Mus musculus: one gene and its partners. The protein of the gene in region 4 interacts with the protein of the main gene of each other region in a pairwise test. Links are inferred from orthologs where the notes say so. Each region holds a gene or a part of one and is shown on either strand. Other genes may lie near its edges. The genes, in order: Ldlrad1, Bcl2, Clec7a and Bnip3.

Region 1 (5,008 bases), on a different chromosome or scaffold from region 4:
ACATACATACATACATACATACATACATACATACATACATACATACAAAGGGACGCTAAAGAATCAAGAGTCTGTGGAAGTCATACTAAAGGGCATGTGTTGGACCAGGAATGTACTCTGCTGTCCACTCTGACATCTGTAGTAGGCATTACTAATCAATCATAGACCCTGACGTTAACATCCTTCTGAAATCATGTGCCTCTTAGTCTCTACTATCGTTGGCACAAAAAAAAGAAATCTAGGTACCATCTTGCGTTTATATTCACCCCCTTCGGCCTTTTCCTTTTCATGGCTTCTCAGCCTGGCTTGCAACCGCCATTGCCCCCCCCCCCTTGCCTACCACAGACCAGTGAAGCTAGGGATACGAGAATTGCCAACAGCTTCATCCAATGGCTGGCAGGATGGGATGAGTGCCCCGCTTCCCTCGGGTGAGTGCCTTTGAGATGCATCTTCACCAGTGTCCCCAAATGCCTCGCAGAATCCAGGTGCTGCCCCATAACAGTGAGCAGCGTCTTTCCCTTCACCTCAGCTCCCTCACTCCACACCAGCATGTCCAGGATCCTTCCCATTAAGACCGTCTGTCCCCTGTTCTTGTCAGAGTGCCCAAGTCTGAGAAACCTACACTCAGGCACCCCTGCATCTACATGCCTGTGAAGGGAAGGGCCTTTCCCAAGCCATTGGCAAGGTCCTTGTGAGAGCCAATACTTAGCTTGCCCAGTCTGATGGCGACCTATGTCTCCAGCCTCCATGGTTTGGCTTGTATTTCCCACCACAAGAGAAATGGCCCAGCACAGAAATCACTGATGGGAACTCCTGGACACCTGCAGTGGGTACTACCCTCGGGGTGGGCCTCAGAGCATCCTCATCTGCTTCAGGGCCCCTGTCTCCTCCTTAGACTAGATTGCTAAGAAATCTACTCCATGCTGGGACAGAAGATATTCTGGAAAGCAGCTAGCTCCCACCCAGATACCACCCCCAAAAAGCTAAAAAATATATTTCTCCATGCTTTCAACAATTCAAATATGTCTTTCTCTCTTTTATTTATTAATATGTGTATGTGTGTGGTAGAGGTGCACGCATGAAGTGTATGGAGTCAGGACAACTATGTAGAGTGGGCGCTCTCCTTGTATCTGCACATTCATCCTGGGACTCAAACGAAGGTCCTCAGGCAGGCACCTTTATCCACTGAGCCATCCTGTTGGCCCTCAGAAGTGCATATTCTTCTGGTCTAGAAGAATGAACATGAACAGTTCATCAATGAGAAAAGGAACTCTACCTTCTGGCCACTGAACCAAGACTCATGGCACTTCTGCCTGTGGCTTCCTTCAGCCAGGGGGCCTTGCCACCCTGCAGTCTGATGATGCAGAGGAGAAAAATGTGTTAAAGCCTTGGTTCCATCTCTCCCACATATAGTGTGACTTGAGGCACAAACACCAGCTTGTCATCTGTGGAATTGGATGCGTCACTGTCCAACTGCAACCTAGGGAAAGACGTGGTAGGAGCAGGTACCCCTGTCCTTTCCTCCGTGGGGGAGGCAGCCTGGGAGGAGAGTGCCACAGGAGAGGGCACAGCCCTAGCAAAGCCTGTTGCTGTCCTGCCCTCCCACAGGCTGCCCTTGGTGACAAGGTGGAGAACTCTACACTGAGCTCTTTATTCCACCTCAGTTCCTGGAGATGAGTGTTGGAACCATGAACAAAGTCTTCCCCCAGGTAAAAGCTGCCTGGGTCTGAACTGACTCTTGACCTAGGGAGCCATTCTGCAGATGGAAAGGGCTTGTGGGAGGGGACCCTAGGACCCACGGCCACATCCATCTGCCCTGGGGACTCGCTCCACCTGAGATCCATGAGTACTGAGAAGCAGCACAGGACACCTAGGGGTGTTAGGGCACTGTCACTAGGAGGACCTGCCTGAGTCAGTTTGGAGGACAAAGGAGGAATGGGTCCTGTACGGGTCGAAATGTGGAAATGTGAAGCCCAGGATGAGCGTGGGCTGTGAGAGAGCAGAATTTTGCCCAGCCTGCTTCTGGTTTCTTGGCCAGGCAGATGCCGAGAGTAACATCACCACTAGAAGGAAAGCCCGCCCTGGAGATGAAGGTAAGGACAGAGGTGGGGGTCAGGCTGGGCGCTGTGGGTCCCTCCCTGGAAACTACCTGACTCTAGGTAGAGAGTGTCTGAGGCTACTCAGCTCTTCTACTCCAGTGTGGGTGGTGAGGTCTGCTTCCAGCTTCCTGGCCAGCCATACTGACAGCTGCTTGCTGGATAGAACTTTTCATTCTCTCCAGCTACCAGCATTTTCTGAGTGCCTACTATGTGCCTTTTGCCTGCTGGGCCACCACACAGAACCTATAAGACCAAGGACCTCCAAATCAACCTCTGGCCCCCATGCCTGACCTGGATGCTCCTGTTGATCATAAGATGGAGTCGGCCAGGACCACACACTTGTACTTATTATGTTTCCCCAATTCCTGTGCAGCCGGGACCTTTGTATCTCCCTGGGTCCATCTTGGCCTACAGTTGATGAAGGAGGAAACAGATAGATGCTAAGAAGGGTTGTAACCCTTTGCAGACCCTTCTGCCTCGGATCCCTGGGGCTGCAGACCTCAGTTTCAGGACAACCCTGGGTGGGTGGGGTACTAGAAGCAGCTGAAGCTAAGAGAGGTTGAATAATCAGGTCACAGTTATATGGCATCGGAAAGGAGGCCCCTGGTTGCTAAGCTTCAGGGTCATGCCCCATGCTGGTGGCTTTTTCCAAGTTGTCACTCAGTGCGGCTTATCATAGGTGTGGTTTTTCTTCCTTTGCCCTGGGTGGGCAGTTTCTGAAGTTTCTGGCTTTAAAGTGGGTTTAAAGCTTCCCTCCACTTCTGAGAGCTCTCAGCCTCATCTGGAGGGCCAGACAAGGTCAACTAGGAAGGAGGGTAGCGACTAAGTCTCCTGTGTCAGGCCACAGAAAGGCAGAGGCAGGTTTCTCTCATCCCTTGGGCTCTTAGGTTCTGAGACAGGCATTGCTCTCACTGGTGCCCTGTGTGGGTTTGTGTGTGTGAGCGCATGCATGTGCAAGCTCGCAAAGTTGCCACCAAGGCAAGAGCTCTGCCTGCTGCTCCAGTCTTGCCTGCAGCCCCACCTTGCACACAACATGAACTGCACAAATATTTGAGGAACAACCACTCAGCCAGCTCTGCTGCCCCGTATCAACACGATCTCCCTGGTGACCCAAGTTTACTCTGTGTTGCTGACCACAAAGGAACCACCAAGCAGGGCTCTAGGAGCCTAGGTTTTTTTAATGTATACTACACCTCCTGTAGGCCTGTTGTCTCATCTACCAACACATACCCACATACCTACATCCTCACCAGCCACCCACCAGGCCTCTCCTCCCAGACCCTCTCCCTGGAAGGCCTGCTCTTTGAGGCCTCTGCCCTGCCCCACCTCATAAATCAGCTGGTTTTCTTGAGGTCCTTATATCACCCGGAGCTCCTCAGAGTCCTGTCCACATCTCCCTAGCTACTTTTCATTTGACACTGCAGGCACAGGTCTTGCTGACAGGTGGCTGGAAACTTGAGTGGAGTGTATTAAATGAGCCAAATCAGGATCCTCCCCTTGTCTGTCTTCTGTATCTCTAGTTTGCGAGCTTGCACATGCATGCGCTCACACACACAAACCCACACAGGGCACCAGTGAGAGCAATGCCTGTCTCAGAACCTAAGAGCCCAAGGGATGAGAGAAACCTGCCTCTGCCTTTCTGTGGCCTGACACAGGAGACTTAGTCGCTACCCTCCTTCCTAGTTGACCTTGTCTGGCCCTCCAGATGAGGCTGAGAGCTCTCAGAAGTGGAGGGAAGCTACTTTCCTGCCTTCCACAGAGCAAGGTGCCCACGAGGCCCCCAAGGAAAGCTGCTTTGCTTCATTTTGCAGGCAAGCAAGAACTAGGGGAAGTAAGCCAGGCATAGTGGTGTACACCCTTAATCCCAGCATTTGGCAGGTGAAGGTAGGCAGATCTCTGTGAGTTCAAGGCCAGGCTGGTCTATCTAGTGAGTTAGGATAGCCAGAGCTATATAGTGAGACTCTGTCTTAAAAAAAAAAAAACAAAAGAAACAAAAAAAAAAAAAAATCAGGGGAGCCAAGCACAATTCTAGAGCGTGGGACATCTGCCAGCTACTCCTGTTACTGCTGTCACCACAATGCCTAGGAACACTGTGGCACTTGGTAGACGTACAGCAAACACTTAGCCCACACTTTGCACCTGCTGTTTTAGAATACTCATTCAACAAACCAACACCACCCAGCAAACTACAGTAACCCTCACGGTGCCGGCTTAGCACTCAAGAAGACTGGGACACAGAAAAGCAAATGGTTCATCATGTGGCTAGGAATCCATGGAGCTGGGACTCCAGGCCACATTCTGAGGGGCACTAGAACAGACGACAGGCTGGAAGTAAGCAAAGGGTCTGGGGTTTGGCATCAAACAGGTGTCATGGCTCAGCCCAGAACAGGGGTGACCAGGACGTTTGCTTCTTTGAACCTCAGTTTGTCATCCACAGAAATCAAGTTCAGGTCCAGTCCATCGTGGCAGGGACTCAGGGAGCTGAAGAGGTGCTCATATCATGCCCGCAGTGGGAAACAGGGATGGATGCAGTCACTGCTTGCTCCTCAGCTCTCTCTCCACTCATGCAGCCCAGCAGCCCATTTAGGGAATTGTATTGCCCACAGTGAATGAACTTTCCCACTGCAATGAATACCACCAAGACAATCCTCCCCACCCCACCCCACCCTGCGCAAGCATGTCTCCAGGCCCCTCTGGGTACACAGATGTCCACTGTCCTATCTATGCCCTTGGTCACGAGGATAGGCTAGGAAGGACAGGAAGGAGAGACAGCCTCTATGGAGCAGAGGCTAGCCCCTGCTGGCATTTGGTGATGATGGAGGACAGGCAGGACCAGAGATTGTCATGGAAGTCTTAGAAATGCATCCTCTAGCCCCAGTACTCCCTGACTAGGGAGGGCTGCCTGCAGG
Region 2 (5,015 bases), on a different chromosome or scaffold from region 4:
AGATAGTGACTGAATGTGCTGTTCCCACAGTAATCCAGCAAGCCTGTGGGACTTGTCCACCCTGCACATGTGCTCTGTTCTTAAGCCCGATGTGGCAACCTGCTAGCCTGTGAACGAACAGCTTACTTATTTACTTATTAATTTAATGTATGTGAGTACACTGTCACTGTCTTCAGACACACCAGAAGAGGGCATCAGATCCCATTACAGATGGCTGTGAGCCACTATGTGGTTGCTGACACTTGAACTCAGGACCTTCGGAAGAACAGTCGGTGTTCTTAACCGCTGAGCCATCTCACCAACCACGAGTTTTCATTAGTATTTTAATTTGTAATTAATATCCTGGAGACTGTTGGGAGTTGCCACTCTTCACCCAAGGGTAGCATATTGGTACTACTCACTACTTAGGAGTCAATATATGTCTCAGTAATCTCTCTGGCTGCTGAGAGCTGATAACATAGTTATCACATAGCACAGTTTTTCTTGGTGTTTTATGTATCTATCTCTCAGCTTGATTGTTTCTGTCTGGGTTCATACAAGTGACAGTGGCACTGTGTGTCTGTGGGTACATAGACACATTATCTGTATGGCTGCATCTTCTGAAGCCGTCTCAGGTTGCATGCTGGTCAGAGCTGAGGATATCCAAAACCGTACCTATGCCGTGTTAGGGTCATGGCCTTGAAAGGTGGCAGGTATCACTCCCTGAGGTCCAGCCCCAGCCCAGTGCTGGGAGCGTTAGGAGCAGAGGAAAAACTGTCCCTGAAACTCAAACTTCTGCTGTTCTCTTCTCCTCTCTTCACTGGCCCACTGCGAGTTAGGTCTGGCCTTGGTCACCAAGTTGGGTATGCCTGGATAGAGGCTAAAAGCGCCTGGGTGCTCATGTGGTATCTGCTTGGACACCTCCAAAGTAACTCCGCATACCACTTTGACTATTCTTTAACAAGCCAAGAGCATCAGCGACTGCCATCAGTCTGCCACTGTCTGACTAAGAAGAGATGAGGAAAGACCAGCCTCTGAGGCACATCCCTTGCTGGTTGTGGACATCACATCATGCTCTTCAGAGCAGAGGAGTACTCAGACCTGTTCTAAGTTACACAGCTTGTGGTGTCTGGACAAAAGGGCCTAGAAACAAGCATGCTAACGTTGTTATTCTAAGTATTTTCATTTGTAATTAATATCCTGGAGACTGTGTTGGGAGTTGCCTCTCTTCACCCAAGGGTAGCATATTGGTACTACTCACTACTTAGGAGTCAATATATGTCTCGGTAATCTCTCTGGCTGCTGAGAGCTGATAACATAGTGTTTGGGGGTTCACATGGTTAGCTGAGGGTCTGTTTGATTTTATACACTATATGTGGTTGTATACACTACACTGTTTAAAGGGTCCACATGATTGTAGATACACTGCACTACACACACACACACACACAGAGCGACTGTGTACACACTTTATGTGTGGTTAGAAAGGGTCCATTGGATTGTGCACATTCCATGCACGCGGTTAGAAAGGGTCCATGTGACCTGCACATGCTACATAGAAAAAGTCCATGCGGTCGTGCACACTGTACACGTTGAAAAAGATCCATGCAATTGTGCCCATCCTGTTAGAAAAGATCCAGGTGCCTCGCCACAGCCTGGCCCTGGCTATAGGCACGTCCAGCCAGCAGCCAGCCCCGCAGGCCCGAGGAGGCCCCTCACACGCCCACTGAGCCACTGCCGCCCGGGAGGCCCGCGCCACCCACGGTCCGGGGCCCAGCGTAGCCCGCGGGTGGCCGCCACCCAGGCCAGCGGCCGCGGCCGGGCGCGCGCTCCCCGGGGCGGCCGCGGCGCCTTTAACCCGGGCGGCTGGCGGGCGGCGGGAGGAGGCGGCGGGCGGGCGCTCAGAGGAGGGCTTTCTTTCTTCTTTTTTTTGAATGAACGGTGACGTACGTACAGGAAACCAGGCGCTCCGGCGGAGAATGAAGTAAGAGGCCGGGCCCCCCGCCCCGCGCCCGCCCCCTTCCTCCCCGGCCCGTCCTCCCGCCCCGCGTCCGGGTCCCCGCCGAGCCGCCGCCGCCAACACCGAGGTGCCCAGGCCCTCCCCAGCCGCAGCCGTCACCGTGGAACGGGCTGCGCGGCGCAAGCACGAGGAGGCGGCCGCCAGCGCCGCCCGCAGCGGAGGAGGAGAAAGGGTGCGCAGCCCGGAGGCGGGGTGCGCCGGTGGGGTGCAGCGGAAGAGGGGACCAGGGGGGGACTTCGTAGCAGTCATCCTTTTTAGGAAAAAGAGGGGGGGCAAACCCTCCCCCACCACCTCCTTCTCCCGCAGCGCACCACACACAGTGCGCGGGCTGCTCCTTGGGCACCCGCGGCCCCAGCGCGTCCGTGCCTGCATTTAGCAAGCTGCTTTTTTTCCCGTTTCGGAAAGCGCGTTGGCCCTTCGGAGTTTAATCAGAAGAGGATTCCGGTCCCGGTCCCCCAGCTCCTCCATCGTCCCCTTGGCGTGTCTCTCTGCCCTGGAGGTCTGAAGCGGTCCGGTGGATACGGATCCATGCCTGCGCTCCAGCGTGTGTGTGCAAGTGTAAATTGCCGAGAAGAAGGGAGAATCACAGGACTTCTGCAAATGCTGGACTGAAAAATTGTAATTCATCTGCCGCCGCCGCCGCTGCCTTTTTGCCCCGCTGCGGTGCTCTTGAGATCTCTGGTTGGGATTCCTACGGATTGACATTCTCAGTGAAGCCGGAGTGTGAGGACCCAATCTGGAAACCCTCCTGATTTTTCCTCCACCTAGCCCCCAGACCCCAACTCCCGATTCATTGCAAGTTGTAAAGAAGCTTATACAAGGAGACTTCTGAAGATCGATGGTGTGGTTGCCTTATGTATTTGTTTGGGTTTTACCAAAAAAGGGTAAACTTGACAGAAGATCATGCCGTCCTTAGAAAATACAGTAAGTTCTTTGCACAGGAATTTTGTTTAATATAACTTTCCATGGACGCGTTTGAAATATTTTTTTACTTCAAGTGCATTCAAGCAAATTTCATTTCCAGACAGTTTAATGCATTTTTAAACGTGTAACTTGTAGCGGATATACCTTTCTTACCCTAAATATATAAAGGAAAACACACCTGATTTTAACTTCCTAGGTCGTCCCGCCTCTTCACCTTTCAGCATTGCGGAGGAAGTAGACTGATATTAACAAAGCTTAATAAATAATGTACCTCATGAAATAAAAAGCAGAAAGGAATTTGAATAAAAATTTCCTGCATCTCATGCCAACGGGGAAACACCAGAATCAAGTGTTCGGTGTAACTAAAGACACCCCTTCATCCAAGAATGCAAAGCACATCCAATAAAAGAGCTGGATTATAACTATTCTTTTTTTTTTTTTTTTCTTTCGGGGCCGTGGGGCGGGAGTCGGGACTTGAAGTGCCATTGGTACCTGCAGCTTCTTTTCGGGGAAGGATGGCGCAAGCCGGGAGAACAGGGTATGATAACCGGGAGATCGTGATGAAGTACATACATTATAAGCTGTCACAGAGGGGCTACGAGTGGGATGCTGGAGATGCGGACGCGGCGCCCCTGGGGGCTGCCCCCACCCCTGGCATCTTCTCCTTCCAGCCTGAGAGCAACCCAATGCCCGCTGTGCACCGGGACATGGCTGCCAGGACGTCTCCTCTCAGGCCCCTCGTTGCCACCGCTGGGCCTGCGCTCAGCCCTGTGCCACCTGTGGTCCATCTGACCCTCCGCCGGGCTGGGGATGACTTCTCTCGTCGCTACCGTCGTGACTTCGCAGAGATGTCCAGTCAGCTGCACCTGACGCCCTTCACCGCGAGGGGACGCTTTGCCACGGTGGTGGAGGAACTCTTCAGGGATGGGGTGAACTGGGGGAGGATTGTGGCCTTCTTTGAGTTCGGTGGGGTCATGTGTGTGGAGAGCGTCAACAGGGAGATGTCACCCCTGGTGGACAACATCGCCCTGTGGATGACTGAGTACCTGAACCGGCATCTGCACACCTGGATCCAGGATAACGGAGGCTGGGTAGGTGCATGTCTGGTTGAATGAGTCTGGGCTTTGATCTCAAGGCCAAGATGCGCAGGTTGGGGTGTGAGTGGATTCTGGGTCAAAATGGGCCATTGAGCAGATGAAATAAAGTCGAGTTTGTAGCTTTGCTCCCCTGACCTCTCACTCTCTTCCTCTGGGTACATCACACCCTGCCAACACTGTGTTAACTCCTGCCCGCTGGCTGTGAGGGAGCAAGAATCCAGCATTTTTGATCCAGTAGGATCTGGAGATAATAGCATCCCTCCAGTAACTCTCAGAGTTAGTTCGTCTGAGTAGCTTGCTGCAGATGTTCTGGGTCCTGTGTAAGCACCAGACCTCCAACACTCCCTCTTGACCTATGCATCTTTAGCTCCTCTGGTGGACTAACAAACTTTAAAAGGTCCATCTAGACATGCAGGCTCCACCAGAGGACGCAGGCAAACCTTTTCTAACTCACTTGGGAACATTTTCCCAAAGAAAAACAACACGGCTCCTTTTCCTGGAAATCATAGCTAAGCTTGTAAAAAAAAAAAAAAAAAAAAAAAAAAAAAGGTAAGCTTAGGTAGGTATTCGTGGATGTTTGTGGAATCCAGTCTGTCTATGCCATAGTCCCCAGTGGGCATGGTGGGTGTGCACCCTAAACATGTCCGTCAACGAATATGCGATGATTTAGAAGTCTGCATCCACTGTATGTCTTACTTTTCTCTACCTGCATTCTACATAGTTTTGCGATCTCTACTGCTGAATGGACTTGCATCTAGGGTGCCTATGAAAGGGGTAATGGAGTCCACTTAGCTGTGGCGTCTCCAGCCCTGACAAGTTAAAATGATTCGTATCCACAACACTGGTGAGCATCTATGGGGTGATAGTTTTCTGGGATCTTGGGAGGTTCAGCTTCCATATTTTACCGTGTGATTTAAGCTTTTCTCTGGTTCTTTAAGGGCAGAGAGCAGACTTAAGACTTGCTATAGCTAAAACAATTAAGTTATGTGAAAGCA
Region 3 (4,232 bases), on a different chromosome or scaffold from region 4:
ATAAGCTGAAAGTTTAATAATTTAAACTTAGATAGTTTAAGTTTAATAAGCATCCTTATTAACAAGAAATTGTACAGAATCAGGAGAACTTACAATACATGTTGAAGGAAAAGTGGGTGAGAACTACAGAAAGCATCCCTCAATACAGTTCCAATCTGCACACTCTATTCTGTCTTCACTACTCTGTTTTTATCTATCTGTGACTCCGTACCCAATAGCTGTAGTTCCTGTGAAAGTTAATGAAAGCAGGAATACAGACAAGGAAGAGGATCCCATTAGAAATTCACCTGGCCTTTGATATCAACCTGTGATTGGCAAAGAATCATCCTATTTTTGTGACCAATTCAAGAGTCTTGGATTATTTTAACCATAAAACATGCAGTGCAGGGCTGAGGATGTAGATCTGTAGAAGAGAGTTTACCTGACACCTGCCAGGCTCTGGGTCTCTTCTACAGCATTATTTTCCTTGGTAAAGCTATTATGAGTTTATGTTTGCTACTTGTACAAAAAACAAATGGCCCATTTCCCACGAAGCTGCTTGGGAGCTGGGCACTGCTGGATTTTGTGTAGTTTGTTAATTGAGGTAGAATATTGATAATTTAAGCCTATTTTCCCCCTTTAGTTTGTGTGAGAGCTTCTGTGTGTGTGTGTGTGTGTGTGTGTGTGTGAGAGAGAGAGAGAGAGAGAGAGAGAGAGAGGGAGAGAGAGAGAGAGAGAGAGAGAGAGAGAGAGAGAGTATATGTATGTATGTATGCATGCATGTATGTTTGCACACTGAACCTAGAGAGATAGGCTTACAACCACCCAACTCCAGGACTCTCCTGTCTTCAATCCCTACCATACAGGAGTTAAAGGCATGTATGGATGCACCTGACATTTTAACATGGATATTGGGAACTCAAATCGAGGTCCTCATGTGTTTGCAGCAAGCATTCTTACCCACTGAGCCATCTCCCTAGCTCACATCTTTATTAATGAATCTATTCTTGATGGAAAAATTAAAAATAACTCTAAAACACCTCTCTAGACATTCAACGATATTCAGTGATTGACAGTCCTCTCTAGATTGTCACCTTATGTGAACGTCCTTCTGTAAAAGGATTCATTCCGCCCTGGATGCCTATAGCATTGTTTTAGGATCCCCCTGATGTATGTTTGTATTTTTGTTTTACTACAGGAGTTCATTGAAAGCCAAACATCGTCTCACCGTATTAATGCATTTTGGATAGGCCTTTCCCGCAATCAGAGTGAAGGGCCATGGTTCTGGGAGGATGGATCAGCATTCTTCCCCAACTCGTAAGTTCCGGTACAGACATGGAGAGGTGGAATCCTACCATGCAGTTACAAAATCTACTTCTCTGGTCACTTATGAGAAAACGGAGTCATGGTGGCGGAGGGAGAGGGAGAAAGAGACATAGAGATGAAGAGAACAGCTCTCAGGGAGGCTGTAAAGGATGCTCTCCTGGTGCTGACTAAGGGATTCCCATGGCATCTGGTCCTTCTGGCCCAGTGAGGAGAGATGCTGTTCAGTGCAGCCTTGGACTTACCTAAGTCTGAGGTAACGATTAACCCAATCTATGTACGTGAGATATTGGACAAATCTCTGTACTTCTTTTATAGCTGCATTCTTTATCCAAAACTGAGAATAGAGTGGCTATTCTTTACAATAGTAAAGTAAAGGGCATAAAGGTAAAATCATTAGCATAATTTTTTTACAGAACCGATGAAAAATGACATCTTATGTCATTATTTCAACTTTATCTTACATTTGTGAACTTAGAATTTCTTCCTAATTGTGTGCTGAAGTCTTTGAAATGTCTATTCATCTGTTCACTAATATTTGTAAATATAAAATTTTATCCCCCTTTCAATGTATATTCCTGCATCCCTGAATCTCCCATTAATGTTAATATATATAGTCCAATTTAATTAAATTTTACTTTTTTTAAATTTTGCTAATGTTTCTCTATCCTCTTTTATCACTTTGGCTAGTGTTGATTCTCATATATATTATTACCTTTCACCTAATTTCTCTGTGTTAAGCTGAATTCTTTCTCTAAATTCTTATGTTGGATGTTTAACTCATCATCTCTAGTCTTTTTTTGGCTTTGGAGTCATTTGGTTCACATGCTTTCTGACTTCCATGGTGAGTTGCTCTTTGATCCAAGACATAGAAATAAATTTCTCACTTTTCACACATACCCATGCTTCTCACATTCCTATTTATCTTTTAGATTTCAGGCTTAGCTCCTCTGTGATCAGAGAACATACTTCATCTGGTGGTAATTCCCTCTTAATTTGTATTGAAAATGTCTACACGGGTCCTCCTATATTTCTTTAAGAGTTTCACTTGATACTTTAAAGCCATATTAAAATATTCATGTGGATTTAGAATTGTTGCATCGTCCTGTTTGATGTCACTTTCCTTCCTTCTTCCCCCCTCTCCTCCCTCCCTCCCTCCCTCCCTCCCTCCCTCCCTCCCTCCCTCCCTCCCTTCCTTTGTAATTTACTGATTTCTGTTTTGATTTTTGTTTATTTCTCATAATTCCTCTGGTTTGCCTGTTTTGTTTTGTTTTGTTTTTGTCACTTGCAGCTCACTTTGCTTACAGTATTCTCAATACTATCTATTAACTTCTAGAGGCCACTCAGGACAGTTGTTTTTAAGTCTGTACCTGCTAACTCTGTGTGCATTCTGTTTTTTCTCCTGTGCATCACTCAAGTTGGTTTGTTTTCTTAAATGCCTAATTGTGTTTGAAAGCTGATTATCAGCATTGCATTGTGAACTGTTTAGGGCTTTTGGGGTCAACTTGAAGTTCATAGAGTAACGCCTCATTTGCTTCCTGAGGATAGTGGTGGCAATGAAAAGCCCACTCCCCCACCCTCACCCAGTGTTACATCATCAGTGCTCAGCTACCTCTCCTCTACTAATTCACTCCAAATGCATTCACTAACAACCCACAGAACATACTCCTTCCTCTTCTGTGGCATTTATTCACCTTGATTTGTTTTCCCATTGTAACAATGAAACGAGATGGTTCTTTGTAACTTCATAAAATGGGCTTAACATTTTAAAATGTTCCAGGGTGGCAGTAACTTAATCTCTGCCCCCAAAACCACTTGAATGTCAGAGAAATTTTCAGAAATTACTGGTAAATATTCTCCCAGAGGTCTGGGTCGAAGCAGTTCATCTTACCCCTGCCAATTCAAGAGCAGATTTTTTCAGTCTACCAACCACAGGGTCAAGAAGAAGCAGTCGTTCAAGGTAGAGTTCAGTAGGTGGTGACTTTTGCACTATGACCCAATGATAATCCTTGAATGTGACTAATTGGCATGGCTCTTTATTTCATTCAACTCATAATACTAGCCTTTCTGAGGGGAAAAAAAACCATCATTTTCTTACCTTAATTATAAAGACAAGTCTATTACCACTTGAAGATTAATACACTCTAAGTTAAAGATTCCTCTTTAAATAATTCAAATGCCTCAAACTATTTTAACCAATGTTCTTAAACTTTCTAGCTCCATGAAAGACCTATGTGGTCTCTGTTTGTTTTAATTACCTCACTGTACTTTTTTCTAACAGGTTTCAAGTCAGAAATACAGCTCCCCAGGAAAGCTTACTGCACAATTGTGTATGGATTCATGGATCAGAGGTCTACAACCAAATCTGCAATACTTCTTCATACAGTATCTGTGAGAAGGAACTGTAAATGTATGTGAGAATATAAAGATGGTGTGTGTGTGTGTGTGTGTGTGTGTGTACATGCACACACACCACCACCACCACCACTACCAACAACAGAACAGAACAGAACAGAACAGAACAGATTAATATTAAAAAACAGAAAAAATGCTGGGATGCTAAGAGACTTTAACCTCATTTGAGAACTTGGATGAAGAAGCTGAGACTTTTGTACTTGTCATCTTCACAAAGATGGTGGCACTATCTTCCAGTTAGGAAGTCACTAGACATGGAGTGAGGGCAGCTCAACAATACAGAGAATATGTGAACCTGAGGTACCCTGACTCAAATTTCACAACCACAATGAAACCCCTACACTATCAGGAAACACTGTAGAGGAGTGAGACTGAAGACTTTAAAAGCCAGAGAATCAGCCTACTTACTGTGGTGTTTTCTAGACAGGACAGGGAAAGTATATCTAGGAAATAAAAACAATACAATTCAGCAAACAAAATCTGCATAATGACAACCTCAGTTGGTATGGTATGTT
Region 4 (4,712 bases):
TCTGTAGCAGAGAATCTGTTTATTGTTCTGAAGGCCCTAGGCTAGAGCTCCGAGCACTGTAAGAAAGCAAGCTTTCAGTTAAGAGTGGTGGAACCACTGGGAAGCTGGGGCAGGAAAAAAAGTTTAAGACCAGAGTAGGTTACAAAGCGAATCTGTCTAAAAAAAGACATCAGATTCAGTCTGGTGACATGGCTCAGCTGCAGTGAACTTGCATGTGCAAGGCCCTCGTATAACCTTAGCACTCCAAACAAAACAAACGGAAATCAAGGCTGCATAGCTATAATCCCAGCTCTCAGGAGGCGAAAGCAGTAGGATCGGAAATTCAAGGTTAGCTTTTGCTACACAGCCAATTCAAAGCCAGCCTCGGTTATGACATTGTCTGGGAAAAAACAAAACACCAAATGAAGCTGCTTCTAGTGACCTGACCCACTGCTACTAAGATAGCTTCTTTTGAGGTTCACAAGCCCCTTCTCTATCCCAGAACTGTATCAAGAGGGAATTCCAACCTCCAAGTACAGAGAAGCTACTGGGTAGGTTACAGGGAGGATGCAGAATCCTCAAAACTGGCCCTCCAAAGGTCTCTCCAACCGTTCCTGTCCAAAAATGCCGTCCTTTCTCGCATGCAGCATACCACAGCACTACCCAACTCGCCATTGATGCTGCAGTAGAATACTGGCAAATTTTTTGTTTTGCTTTGTTGTAAACAGCTTCATACAGTGCAGCCCAGCCTGGCCACGAACCAGGGCTGGGACTAGAGTTATACATAAGCACTCCCGGACTGCATTTTTCTTAAAGATGCAACCTAAAAAACTATCTGTAAGCGTGCATAGAGACAGCGAGACCATGTGTGCTCCCATTGCTGGCGCTCGCAGGTTCCGGAGGAGATTGGGGAACTATGGGTCAACCGCGAGCAGGAGGGGCAAACTCAGCACCCAAGGCCAGACGCCCAAAAACCTGGCCGCACGTCCTCATGCCACGCCTATCTCGGAGCCCGCCCACGTCTGCCCACCTCCAGCCTGGCTTCAAGACCCGCCTCTTGGCCTCTGCAATGCGCGCACCTCGGAGTCCCAAGGCTCAGACCTCGAGCCCCGCCCCCAGACTCTTCCCTACCCGCCTAGGTCCCAGTTACTCCAGCCTCAGGCACAGCCCCCGGTCCACTTCTGCATTAGACCTTAAAAACAGCCGCCCTCCCGCGCACTCCTGCCTCAGGCCCCGCCCATGCCGGCGCACGCGCCGCACGTGCCACACGCTCCCCCGCGTTCCTCCCCCACCTGCAGGCCCCGCCCCCCAGCCAATGGGCTCCGCCGCCGCGTGCGTCCCGCCCCGCCCCGCCCCTTGTCCCTCAGTCCAGTGTCGCCTGGCCTCAGAACTGAGCGGCGCAGGCTGCCCCTGCTACCTCTCGGTGACCGCCTCCCAGGCCTGTCGCAGTTGGGTTCGGGCTCCTTTGCCGAGCCACCATGTCGCAGAGCGGGGAGGAGAACCTGCAGGGTGAGGCAGTGGGCCGAGAGGGGCCGCGGAGGCGGTAGGGTCGCGGGCTGGGGTGCGGTGAGTGGAGGCCGCGATGCAGTTCGGTGCAGCCGGGGCTGGGTGGTGAGCCTCGGGGCATCTTACAGACAGTACCTTCACAGGCAGGCCGGGTCTTTCTTTCCTGCTCTGTTCTTCACACTGTCATAGTTCTGTATTTTCAGACTCTGTAGGTCAGGGGAGCCTCGAACTCTGCGATCCTCCTTCCTCAGCTTCCCGAGTAGCTCAGATTTCAGGCCCTTGGCGTCCCCTTGTTCAGAGTTGCTTAAGTGAGTTAGAGGTTGCAGTTGAATTTTCAGTGCTTTGATTGAAGTCATTAATATTTATGACTGTAGTGCCTTTCACTTTTCCTACTTGGTACTGGGGACAGAACCAGATCTGAACGTGCTGGGTAAGTGCTCATTTCCCGAGCAACACTACCAGTTTTCATTTTATTGCTTTAAGACATACTGGTCTTGAACTTGTGATCCTCCTGGTTCAGCCTCTAGAGTAGCTGGAATTTGGAATTAACAGGCTTTGCCGCTGTGTCCCCTCTCCCCCAATCTTTACCCCTGGCTTGCTTTGTTGCCACTTCCTGATGGAAGAGGAGGATACAGGGTTTCAGACCTCTGTCAGGTTTTAGAGTTAAGAGGTGGGATAGCCGCACAGTGGTGGCACAAACCTTTTATCCCAGCAATCAGGAGGCAGAGGCAGGGGGATTTCTGTAAATTCGAGGCCAACCTGGTCTACAGAGTGAATTTCAGGACAGCCAAGTCTACAAAGAGAAAAACAGAGAGGGGGTATGGCTGGAGGTAGTGTGGAAGAGAGCTACAACAGCTCAAAAGGAGGGTAAAGTGCTTATAATTTAGTTCAGTAGGCTCACTGCAAGCAGTGAAGTAGATTGTAGGTTAAAATGGAAGTGAGGCTGGGTGTGGTGACACACCTAAAATCCCATCATGGGGTGGGTGAAGTTGAGTCTTGACAAATTCCAGGTTAGCCTGGACTACACAGTCGTACCAGGCTAGTTCGGGGCTCTGTAGCCAGACCCTGTCTCACAAATAACAGAAAGGCTCTCCCAGCATCAGCCTTTACAGACTGTTAGCACTGCGCAGACAGCTGCTAGTTTTGCAAGGCCAGCCTGGGTGCTATGTGCCATTGTCCATTTCTGAGAGCTACCTGGTGGGCCTGAGTTGAGTCTGAGTTGAGTCTCAGGCCCTGAGACTGGAGGAGGATCCTGTTGACCTTTGTACTCTCTGAAGCAAGAGTTCACCAGGTAAAACGCATGTCAGTAAACGTGAGAGAGAGGCTTTCCAAACCTTTAAAATGAATGCTTTAGTGTCAACTCCCCTCCCCCCCCCCAGGCAGGGTCTCACTCTCAGTGAACTCCCAGAGATCTGCCTGCCTCCACCTCCCTAGTGCTGGGATTAAAGGTGTGGGCCACAGTACCCACTTTAGTGTGAAGACGTGGTTTCTCTGTATAGCTCTGGCTGTCCTAGAACTTGTGTAGACTATGCTGTCCAGAGATTCTGTGTCCTGGAGTACTGGAATAGGGTAACTCAGAGCAGTGTTGTGTTAAAAGAGTTTTTAAAAAGCTTGCATTCAGAGACACTGAGTTAGCTGAATTTATTACCCTAAACGAGATTTTAGTAGGCAGAATTTAATCAGCCTAACACATTACAGAATCTGTATTTTCAAACTACAGCCACATTAAAAAAAAAATCTCGTAATTCAGGTTTTATTCCCTAATGTCAAACGTCAAACAGTTGGAATTTTTTGATTGAGAAGTTTTTTTGTCTTTTCTCTTAAGAGATCAAGTGATGTTTTGTGTAAAGTCACTTTCGTAGCTAGTTGAAATTTGATTTCTGACACTATGCTGTTAAGACTTCATCTAGGGGAGTTTCTGAGTATTCCTGAGAGGTCTCGGTTAACATACACTCAGCTGACATGCACGCCAGACTGCTGAGTCATTGGCAGAAGGGGGTTGTCATTAGACGTTTCAAGGGTTAAGGTTTTGTGTTTTTCTCTTTTACTTATTCTATAAAAAGATGGTTACGGTGTGGAAACTCAGGCTAAGGATTTGGGCCATTGTTTGGGGTGTACGTGCAGCTCAGCACTGGCTCACTGTCTAGCTCAGGGTAGGAGGGGTCACTTAGTCACATGGGTTATCTCAGCTGCCCTATGAAATGTGAATCCCAGCTTGGAGTCAGAGCTGAGGCAGCTCCTCTGTTTGCCGCTTCGTGTTTACTTCTGAGGCTGAGAGCTGTGGAAGCCTTGTTGGTAGGTGGGACAGCAAATATTCCCCATAGCAACCTCTGGGACCAGCGTTACTGAAGGCGTTACCCACAACACTGATTGGTTCTGTTCCCTTTTTACCTCTGCTCCATCTTATTGAAAGGTGTTTAGGAGCAGGGCTTTTCTGTATGACTTCTGGCATGCTGGAGGAGAGATAAGTATTGTGATATTTCTGTGCCTTGGTTGCTGCCCTTTCCTGAAAGGTCCACTGTATAGATTTAATAAGTCTTCACTTAGCTAGCTGCCCTGTCTGCAACTGGTTCTGATGAGTGGTTCTGTTGGTTATAGGCAAACTATCAAGGACAGACTTGCATGAAGAGAAAACATGGATACACTGAAGGGGTTTCTCCTTGGCTCTAGCCTCTGTAAATAGTCCTAGTGAGATCCAGAGGTTAAGTGGAACTAAGGATGGCTACTTCAGTTAAGGACCTGGCACAGACTGCTCAGCACCAGAGGGGTACCTGGAGCCACCTGACTCAGGATGTATCAGACAGGCACAGCCTAGCAATAGGCAGAGAGATAAGTTCACTCGTCTTAGAATCCAGTAGGTACAGAGATGATGCAAGCCTCTGATCCTAGTGTTTGGGAGATGGAGGCAGGAAGATCAGGAGTTTAACACCAGCCTGCATGAGACACTTCCAATAAAATGCACATTTGTGTATGTGACTGAAAAGGAAGCCAGTAGTCTAGGTTATGTACTAGGCAGATTCAGTTCGGAACCATTTGCCAACTTCCTAAGTTAACCCAAGGGGCTGTTTAGGTGTGGAGACAGCAATGGCTGCTTCTGGAGAAGTCCTGTGTGGTTTGGGGCAGTGCTTCCCCCAGACTTGGTGCCCCCTTGCTTGGCTTTCTGGGAATGCTATAGCATCGTTCTCCTGTGGCATTATGTTCCTGTGTGGAGGTTGTGTGGGTGCCTG

What was found.
Region 1: the proteins of Bnip3 (region 4) and Ldlrad1 interact in binary tests that used the Homo sapiens proteins (3 or more experiments, as listed by UniProt). The two-hybrid records come from large-scale screens. The link is inferred for Mus musculus from reciprocal best matches to the Homo sapiens genes BNIP3 and LDLRAD1.
Region 2: the proteins of Bnip3 (region 4) and Bcl2 interact in a two-hybrid assay, tested with the Homo sapiens proteins (2 studies listed by BioGRID and IntAct). The link is inferred for Mus musculus from reciprocal best matches to the Homo sapiens genes BNIP3 and BCL2.
Region 3: the proteins of Bnip3 (region 4) and Clec7a interact in binary tests that used the Homo sapiens proteins (3 or more experiments, as listed by UniProt). The two-hybrid records come from large-scale screens. The link is inferred for Mus musculus from reciprocal best matches to the Homo sapiens genes BNIP3 and CLEC7A.

Annotation. Positions count from the first base shown.
Region 1 is NC_000070.6:107,207,492-107,212,499, forward strand, and holds the start of Ldlrad1 (low-density lipoprotein receptor class A domain-containing protein 1), read left to right. Parts: upstream 1-1,652; 5' UTR 1,653-1,673; coding exon of another isoform or gene 1,674-1,709; 5' UTR 1,710-1,978; coding exon 1,979-2,093; intron 2,094-4,116; exon of another isoform or gene 4,117-4,430; intron 4,431-5,008.
Region 2 is NC_000067.6:106,711,304-106,716,318, reverse strand, and holds the start of Bcl2 (apoptosis regulator Bcl-2), read left to right. Parts: upstream 1-2,028; 5' UTR 2,029-3,438; coding exon 3,439-4,014; coding exon of another isoform or gene 4,015-4,038; exon of another isoform or gene 4,039-4,154; intron 4,155-5,015. UniProt on the Homo sapiens protein: Suppresses apoptosis in a variety of cell systems including factor-dependent lymphohematopoietic and neural cells. Regulates cell death by controlling the mitochondrial membrane permeability. Appears to function in a feedback loop system with caspases.
Region 3 is NC_000072.6:129,462,519-129,466,750, reverse strand, and holds part of Clec7a (C-type lectin domain family 7 member A), read left to right. Parts: intron 1-1,177; coding exon 1,178-1,296; intron 1,297-3,583; coding exon 3,584-3,710; 3' UTR 3,711-4,232.
Region 4 is NC_000073.6:138,906,139-138,910,850, reverse strand, and holds the start of Bnip3 (BCL2/adenovirus E1B 19 kDa protein-interacting protein 3), read left to right. Parts: upstream 1-1,344; 5' UTR 1,345-1,457; coding exon 1,458-1,488; intron 1,489-4,712. UniProt on the Homo sapiens protein: Apoptosis-inducing protein that can overcome BCL2 suppression. May play a role in repartitioning calcium between the two major intracellular calcium stores in association with BCL2.